2 linked regions of the Macaca mulatta genome follow. The protein of the gene in region 2 purifies or fractionates together with the protein of the main gene of each other region. This does not show direct contact. Links are inferred from orthologs where the notes say so. Each region holds a gene or a part of one and is shown on either strand. Other genes may lie near its edges.

What was found. The genes of interacting proteins can lie anywhere in the genome.
Region 1: the proteins of UBE2R2 (region 2) and FBXW11 purify together in Homo sapiens (affinity purification with mass spectrometry; 4 studies listed by BioGRID and IntAct, with this or other methods). This does not show direct contact. The link is inferred for Macaca mulatta from reciprocal best matches to the Homo sapiens genes UBE2R2 and FBXW11.

Annotation. Positions count from the first base shown.
Region 1 is NC_133411.1:180,718,406-180,722,051, forward strand, and holds part of FBXW11 (F-box/WD repeat-containing protein 11), read right to left. Parts: coding exon 3,568-3,646; intron 1,576-3,567; coding exon 1,465-1,575; intron 256-1,464; coding exon 177-255; intron 1-176.
Region 2 is NC_133420.1:65,882,092-65,886,508, forward strand, and holds the start of UBE2R2 (ubiquitin-conjugating enzyme E2 R2), read right to left. Parts: upstream 2,844-4,417; 5' UTR 2,233-2,843; coding exon 2,056-2,232; intron 1-2,055. UniProt on the Homo sapiens protein: E2 ubiquitin-conjugating enzyme that accepts ubiquitin from an E1 ubiquitin-activating protein, and catalyzes its covalent attachment to other proteins by an E3 ubiquitin-protein ligase complex.

The DNA of each region.
Region 1 (3,646 bases), on a different chromosome or scaffold from region 2:
CAGTAATGTAAGCATCAAATATTCTCTGATTTTGGCTAAACAAAATGAACAGTGAAATTCTCTGAAGGCATCTTGTGAGATACACAAGCGCTCCTGTGATACACCTAGACAGGGCTATCTGCAAATGGTCATCCTCCAGCACAGGGAACCAATTCCTGTCTTAAGAGGTCACGTACCACCAATGTGCGCAAACACAATGTGCTCGCTGGGGCTCGAGGGTCAAGAGCAGCTTGCAAGTCCCAAACTTTAATTTTCCTAGAAAGGGAAATGAGATGTGATTAGTGGAAAAATGAACAATTTATATGCTGTCAAACATTTCCTTGACAAAAAGTAGTGCATCTGAACTGCCTATTTATAAAAGCTAATGGGGAACATGCTTATGTTTTTACAAATCATCTGAACCAATTACACTTGACTTCAGAAAAATTAAGAACCAACACATTCTCAGAATTGCTGAAATTTTAAAGAAATATTATTTTAAGGGAGATAAGAAAACAACTTCAGGTTATCTAAATTCAGTTCCGGACCTGATAACCTGTGTCACCAAGTTCATTCATCAGGGGACTCTCTAGGGCTGAGGAGGTGCTGCTGACAGAAGCTAGGGCTCTGTGTGAAATTCCAAGGATACCTTTCTCCAAATTAAGCAAATGCTGGAAGTTAGTAATAGGAGTACAGACAGACCAACCAACCCATTTGGGAAGTATATATAAGGTCATCTGGAAAGATTTACAGTTGCCATTTGCCCATTTAAAATATAGTGAGGTGTTTTAAAGAGGGTTTGTTCAATTTACCAAAAGGGGAAAAGAAGAAACTTATTATTGAACACATGAACACACACACACACAGAGAAAAAGAACACACATACACACACACAGAGAGAAAAAGAACACACATACACACACACAGAGAGAAAAAGAACACACATACACACACACAGAGAGAAAAAGAACACACATACACACACACACAGAGAGAAAAAGAACACACATACACACACACAGAGAGAAAAAGAACACACATACACACACACAGAGAGAAAAAGAACACACATACACACACACACAGAGAGAAAAAGAACACACATACACACACACAGAGAGAAAAAGAACACACATACACACACACAGAGACAGAGAGACAGAGAGAGAGCGCCTGGCTTAATTTAGGGGTAAAGCAAAGAAGTGAGTACACTCACAACCTCAGCTATTGCTGGAGTTTACAACAATGACTCAAAGCATAAGTTTAGGAACCACAGTGACTCTGCCTCTGTCATTTGGGGCAAGATTTAGTTCTTTCTGGGCCTGAGTGTCCTCACCTAAACAACTGGTATAATAATACCTGCCATCCACCACTACACAGAAACCTACCATAGGACCTGGTACATACAGAGTTGCTTAATATACAACATTTCTTTTTCTTGTTGATATAGTTATAGCAGTACATCTGAAAATCTGAAAGACATACCCATCATAGGCCCCACTGACAATCCTCTTGTTATCAAACCGGATGCATCGGACCAATTCTTCATGTCCCTCTAGGACTCTTAAACAGGCACCACATTCAATATCCCAGAGCCTTGAATGAAAAACAGACCTCTGTGAAACAATTTCCCACACATGATTCACACTATCTGTAAGTTTTTTATATCTGTTCCATACAGATATAATTTTTCACTATCTTGGAACTCTTTATTTCTATCTCACTTCCAGTACACACCACACATATAAAGCTATATGTATACATTTATACCATCTGTGTGTTTCCAAGCACTAACCTAGGAGGAAGCCTTACTTTTTATTCTATTTCCTTTTATATGATTTGAAACTGTTTTTAATCATGTGTCTGTATTACTATTTAAATAAAATCAACAAACAAGAAACGTCAATTCTATTTAGTTCTTAGGCATTCTCTTGATGTCTGAGTTGATAAAAACCATGTAGACAAATGGTGTAGGAAAGACTTTTCTGGGGAGACAGGGATTGTAGGCAGTAAAGGAGAAAAAGCACAGATGAGACAAGGTGGGAAGGGAGATATCACATACAGCCATCGGGTAAAGCTTCCGCCCAAGGTAATTCTAGCACAGTGGAGTCCATGAGGACCACTGAGGTTAGAACTGGTGGACCAGCAGCTCTCTCTTGATGAGGCCTGTGGATACCCCTTCCTTGATACTATATGCTGAATACTGGAATTGATGTACAAGGTCAGAGTGGGAGACTGATTAGGTACACGCAGTGTTCTGGCGGAAATATAAACCCATTGACTACACCAAATCTTTTTCTCTGCATATAACTCCATTCTGGAGTTAGAGATCTTTTTTCCTATTATGACTGATTTTCTACCGTATTTGCAGAAAAAAAAATCATAGCTAGTTAGCATGTACAAAATAAAGTGAGCAAATTAATTCTATCATAACTTTTTCTTAGCCTCTCTACCAGTAATTCCTATGATACATCCAAAGATCATTTTATTACAGCTGCCCTTAGCAAATCTTAGTACCCGTGATGACAGCATCTCTAATCTGTGATCAAAGTCATTCAGTACTGCCTCTATGACTCCAAAGTGGTTCTCTTCTATAAGCTGCAGAGTAATACACATTACTATCTTGTAAAACCTCAACAATTCCAGTGAGGAGGTTAAGAACTGTTTACTGATGAAACATTAAGCAATACCACAAAGCGTGACGAATATAAGAGAATCAAGATTTAAGCTCTAAACTAACTTTATGGTATCTTAAAGCCTAAAATGATAAAGCAAACTTAAAGAGCCGTTATAGCTTTTTTGTTATTTGCTTGCCTTTAAAAAAAAACTTTGTAATAATCTTAAACCCAATCTTTATTTTGAACGAACATTAGGCAATTTGGTTATAAACACCAAAGTTTAGTAAAGCTTATGTAAAGCTACTAGTATGTGTATTTTTTTTTAATAATCTTGAACCCTATCTTTATTTTGACCAAACATTAGTCAATTTGATTATAAACCAAAGTTAAGTTTAGTCACTTATGTAAAGCCACTAGAGTGTGTTAAGACAGTGGGGAAATGGCACGGGATAATTAAGTAGATATTGAAGGCATGTTCTTAACAAGATACAAAATGTCTAAGGTTAGTTAGATTTATTAGAAAGCAAGGAGGCTGAGGGCTGGGAAGGAAAAATGGAGGTAAACGATCCCGGCAGGAATGGATGATTCCATAATGCAGTCTTGGGAGAGAAAAATAAAGTACACTCCCATGTATTAGGTAGGGAGCTGGGAGCTTACAGGTGAGGGAAGTCAGAGCGAGTTGGGCTGCAGCACCCTAGTCTGTTCTGAAGTGCTCTGATATTAAGTGATCCTGGGTGGAGTTGAGGTTAAAAAACTTTATGTACTGGGGGAACACTGGAAGACCACCCAGGGCATACACGGTTTTCCCACTTGAGTATACAGAGCCAAATACATTTCTAAAAGTTACCTAAAGCTTTCTTATCTGAAACATCCCATTTACTCTGAGTTGTTTTGAGCATTAGAACTAGGAGATGAGTCAACAACGTGGCAAGAATCAGCCTGCTCTGTCAGCACACCAACTTCTACCCACCTAATGGTATTATCTGATGATCCACTAACAACCAGCCGATCCCTGTACTGGAGACAGGCAATGCCTCGCTTGTGCCCAT
Region 2 (4,417 bases):
CCACTAACATTAGCCAGCAGATTTTGCTAAACAATGCTTTGTCAGAAAAGGCATCATGGCCGGGCCGGTGGCTCACGCCTGTAATCCCAGCACTTTGGGAGGCCAAGGTGGGCTGATCACAGGGTCAGGAGTTCAAGACCAGCCTGGCCAATATGGTGAAACCCCATCTCTACTAAAATACAAAAATTAGCTGGGCGTGGTGGTGTGCACCTGTAGTCCCAGCTGCTTGGGAGGCTGAGACAGGAGAATCGCTTGAACCTGGGAGGCAGTGGTTGCACTGAGACAAGATCACACCACTGCACTCCAGCCAGGGTGACAGAGCAAGACTCAGTCTCAAAAAAAAAAAAAAAAAAAAGAAAGGCATCACATAGATTCAATTTTGTACAACTCATTTTTCCAGTATGCATAAAAATTTATATCTGACAACAGAGAATATGCTTAACATAAACACAGCAATACCTTTCCACTTTGTTACTAATAACTTGCATGTTTTCTTAGAAATTTTAAATACCTCCATCTGAAAAGTATAGGGTAGGCTGACCACAAAAGATGAAGCCTAACAGTCGGTAGGGGTACCGCACTTACATAATATTCTAAAAACGTGCTTTTTCTAAGTATTCAGTGACTATCACAGTAGCGAATATTAAACATTCCTGTATAAATCCCATCTCCTATAAAGTTGACCTAATTTCAAGCATAAAACTGAGGTTTCCACCTTTAGAAGGGTAGAAAACAAGAGTTAAGTAATTGGGTAGTCCTAAAAATACACATCACAACTACATGACTAAGATACTCATTTAAAACTTGTGCCAAGATAACCCCTCCCTTCCAAACTAAAATTGACTCACTGGCCTATTTTACTTAATTTTGGAAATAAAAAAATAAAACTAAATGGATTCCTAAGCACTCATTTCCTCTGTCTCTGCCCGCATCATTTAAAACATTCAAACTTTCAATCTGTGATTCCTCCCTGCAAAAACACTCAAGTAAAAACAAAACAAAACAAACACTCATTATCTCCAGGTTAACTACCTTGGAGTTAAAAAAAAAAAAAAAAAAAACCCATTAGATTCTAGAATAACCACTGTTCTAAAACCATATGAAACAATAGAAACAATGTCTGTGGTCGCTAAGCAAACATATATCCCACCCAGAGAAGCGATCTCGCCTCAGGTACTTGTCACCTGTGAGACCACCCCTTTAGCTAGAGTTAACCACTTGAGAAGGTTTCAATTTTGTCTCTGAGAGTGGGAAGCTATCAATCTCCCTACATGACTCGTTCCACCCTCTGTGGATATTTCTACCTGTAGAAAAAAAGGCTGGCAAACTTGGTGGCACGGTGAGGACAAAGGGCATTTTGAAAGAACCAGTGACTGAGGTAAGCAGAGAATGTGAACGGAAAGAGGGTTAAAGTTCCCCCAAAAGGATAATGACAAGACGACGCGGGCACCCCTTTTTTTTAACCACCCCTAGGGTCCCATTCTTCACCACCACCCATTGGAATGCAAAGTTGGCACTACTACTACCCAAGAAGTCCAACAAATCCTCAAAATGTCAGGGCACTCGGCAGCTTCTTAAATGACAAGCTGGTGCCCCTCCCCCACCCTCACCCCCACCCCCCAAAAAAGAAAAGTCCAATCCAGTCGGTGCAGGTCACCCTGCCCTCTGGGGCAGTTCCAGCCTGCGCAGGGAGGGGTTCCGACGGGAGGACGAGAAAGCACAGACAGACCACCGCTCTTTCCACCCGCCCTCAGCTGGGGAAACAAAGACGGCCTCCTGCGCCTGTAGCCACTACCCTAACCAGAGAGAGACTCTCCGATTTCCCGGTGCAGCCTGCCCTCCCGCCCTCGCCCGCGCCCCCGCCCCCATGACAAAGAAAAGGCACTCGGCGAGCAAGGCCTTCCTGCCTCCACGGATGGGGGAGGGGGCTGCCGGGGTGAGGAGCCCCCTCCACTGGCCCGTGCTCATACTCCTGGTCCCAGGAACGGCAGAAAGCGGCGGGGAGCCGGAGGCCTCGGCCGCGGAGGCAGGGTCCGGGAGCGGGGGTGAGGGTACCTTGAAGTAGCCGCCTTCGTAGAGGGTGTTAGGGGGCCCGAAGATGGCCACCTCCCAGTTGTAGAGGTCGGACTCGTCCACCAGGGTGATCCGGAAGCCCTCCACCGGTTCCTCCTGCAGGGATTTCAGCTCGAGCATCAGGGCCTTCTGCGAGCTGGTCATCTGCTGCTGGGCCATCGCGGCGGCGGCGGCGGCGGCGGCGCCGGGCCCGGGCCCCAGTCCTCACGCACCGGCCGGGCCGGACCAGGCCCCTCCCCTCCGCTTGCCCTCGGGCCGGGCCGCACCGGGCCCCGGTCTTCACACACCCGGCGGGCCGGACCAGGCCCCACACGGCCCGTGGGCCCGCCCGCGGTCCTCCTCACACACGACGCGGGCCGGGCCGGGCCCTTCTCCTCACACTCGGGCCAGGCGAGAGGAGAGGTCGAGGGAGTTAGGGGAATTCGCTCCGGGTCCCGGTCCCGGTCCTCCCCCCCCCAGGAGGGGGGCCTCAACTTTGGGGGGGGGGGAGAGGTGGTGGAAGCGGAGGAAGGCGGCGGAGGGCCGGCGATGGTGAAGGGAGGGGGCCGGGCCGGCCCGGGAACGCCGCGCTCGCTCGCCCTCTCGTTCTCTTCGGGGGCCGTAGGGACCGGAGGGCGCGCGGGGCTGGAGGGGGTGGGGGGAGAGCGGCGTGCGGGGGTCTCGCGGCGGTGGCGGCGGCGGCTGCGCGGGGGGAGGGGCGACGGCGGAGGAGGAGGAGGAGGAGGAGAGCGAGAGCGCCTCGCGCCGCGGGAGCTACGGAGCCGAGAAGCAGGGAGGGAGGGAGGGAGGGAGAGAGGGAGGAGGGGCGCACGCCGGGAGCTGGGCGGCTCTCAGCGGCTGGCGACCCGACGCGCGTGCGCGCGCCCCTCCCTCCCCTCCCCCCACCGTGCCTGGCTCTCCTACACTACCACCTCCTCCTCCTCCTCCTCCTCCCGCTTCCACGCCTCTTGGCCTCCCGCGCGGTCGCGGCGCTTTGTGACGCCGGCGCGTGTCCCCCGCCTATAAAGAGCCCAGAGGCAGCGGGGACCGAGGATGGGCGCAGGGATTGCCGTGGCCCCATAGTGACGGTTGTGCGGCTGGACGCCGCAGTTCCAAAGGCGTGCCCCGGAAGGGAACCCAGGTCCCCCGGTTCTCGGGGCCCTCCCCACTGTGGATCCAGGGGCCTCGGCAGCCATCCTGGGACGGGCCTGGTCGCTGCAGGCCCCTCCCTGTGACACCCAGTCTGCGGTCCCTCCACTTAGTAGCTACTTGATTAGGATGTGCTGAGAATGTGGGTCTTTTCGGTGGCAACAGACCTTCCCGCAGGCCAGCCCACAGGCAAATATGCCCTTGGGCACGTTACCCACCCTGGGTGCGGCAGTTCCACGTGAGAAACGGGGTAAGACAGAAAGGTCAGCTTCTGCTTCCCTTCTTAACTACAAAGAGGAAGTTGTGAGGAAAAAGAGACAATAACAAAGTGGGTCTCCTGCCCTTCTCATTGTGATTTGGGGCTACCCTTCGCCCTCCCCATTTGTAAAATTGTGCTTGAACTTTGACCCCTTATAGGTCCTTTTGGCTTGAATGTCCACCCTGGAACTGAGGGACTTTCGAGATAATCATAACCGAAATGAGATGTGGGGACAGTCTTTGGTCCCCGTGGTTCAGAATACAGTACTCCTTTCTCTTAGGAAGGCGTGTCCTAGGATAACTGCCTAAAAAACATTTCCTAGAAAAGCCAGAATACCGTGAGAGTTCTACACACACAATTTCGGAATCGGACAGATCTTGGTTCCAACCCTAGTTCCACACATTACTTCTCCCTGTCTCATCAGTTTTTTGTTTTTTTGTTTTGTTTTGTTTGAGACAGGGTCTTGCTCTATCACCCAGGTCGTCGCACAGTGGCGCGATCACGGCCCACTGCAACCTCCTCCTCCCAGGTTCAAGCGATTCTTCCACCTCAGCCTCCCAAATAGCTAGGACTACAGGTGCTTGCCACCACACCCGGCTGTTTCATCAGCTTCTGTAAAAGGGGATTAATTATACCCAACACAAGCAATTATAATGATTAAACGTATGTACAGCATTTAGCGTAGTGACTGGCACATGGTAAATGATTCATAGGAACTTGAAAGAAAAAACTTTTTTTTTTTTTTTTTTTTTGAGACGGAGTCTCGCTCTGTCTCCCAGGCTGGAGTGCAGTGGCCGGATCTCAGCTCACTGCAAGCTCCGCCTCCCGGGTTTACGCCATTCTCCTGCCTCAGCCTCCCGAGTAGCTGGGACTACAGGCGCCCACCACCTCGCCCGGCTAGTTTTTTTTTTTTTTTTGTATTTTTTAGTAGAGACGGGGTTTCACCGTGTTAGCCAG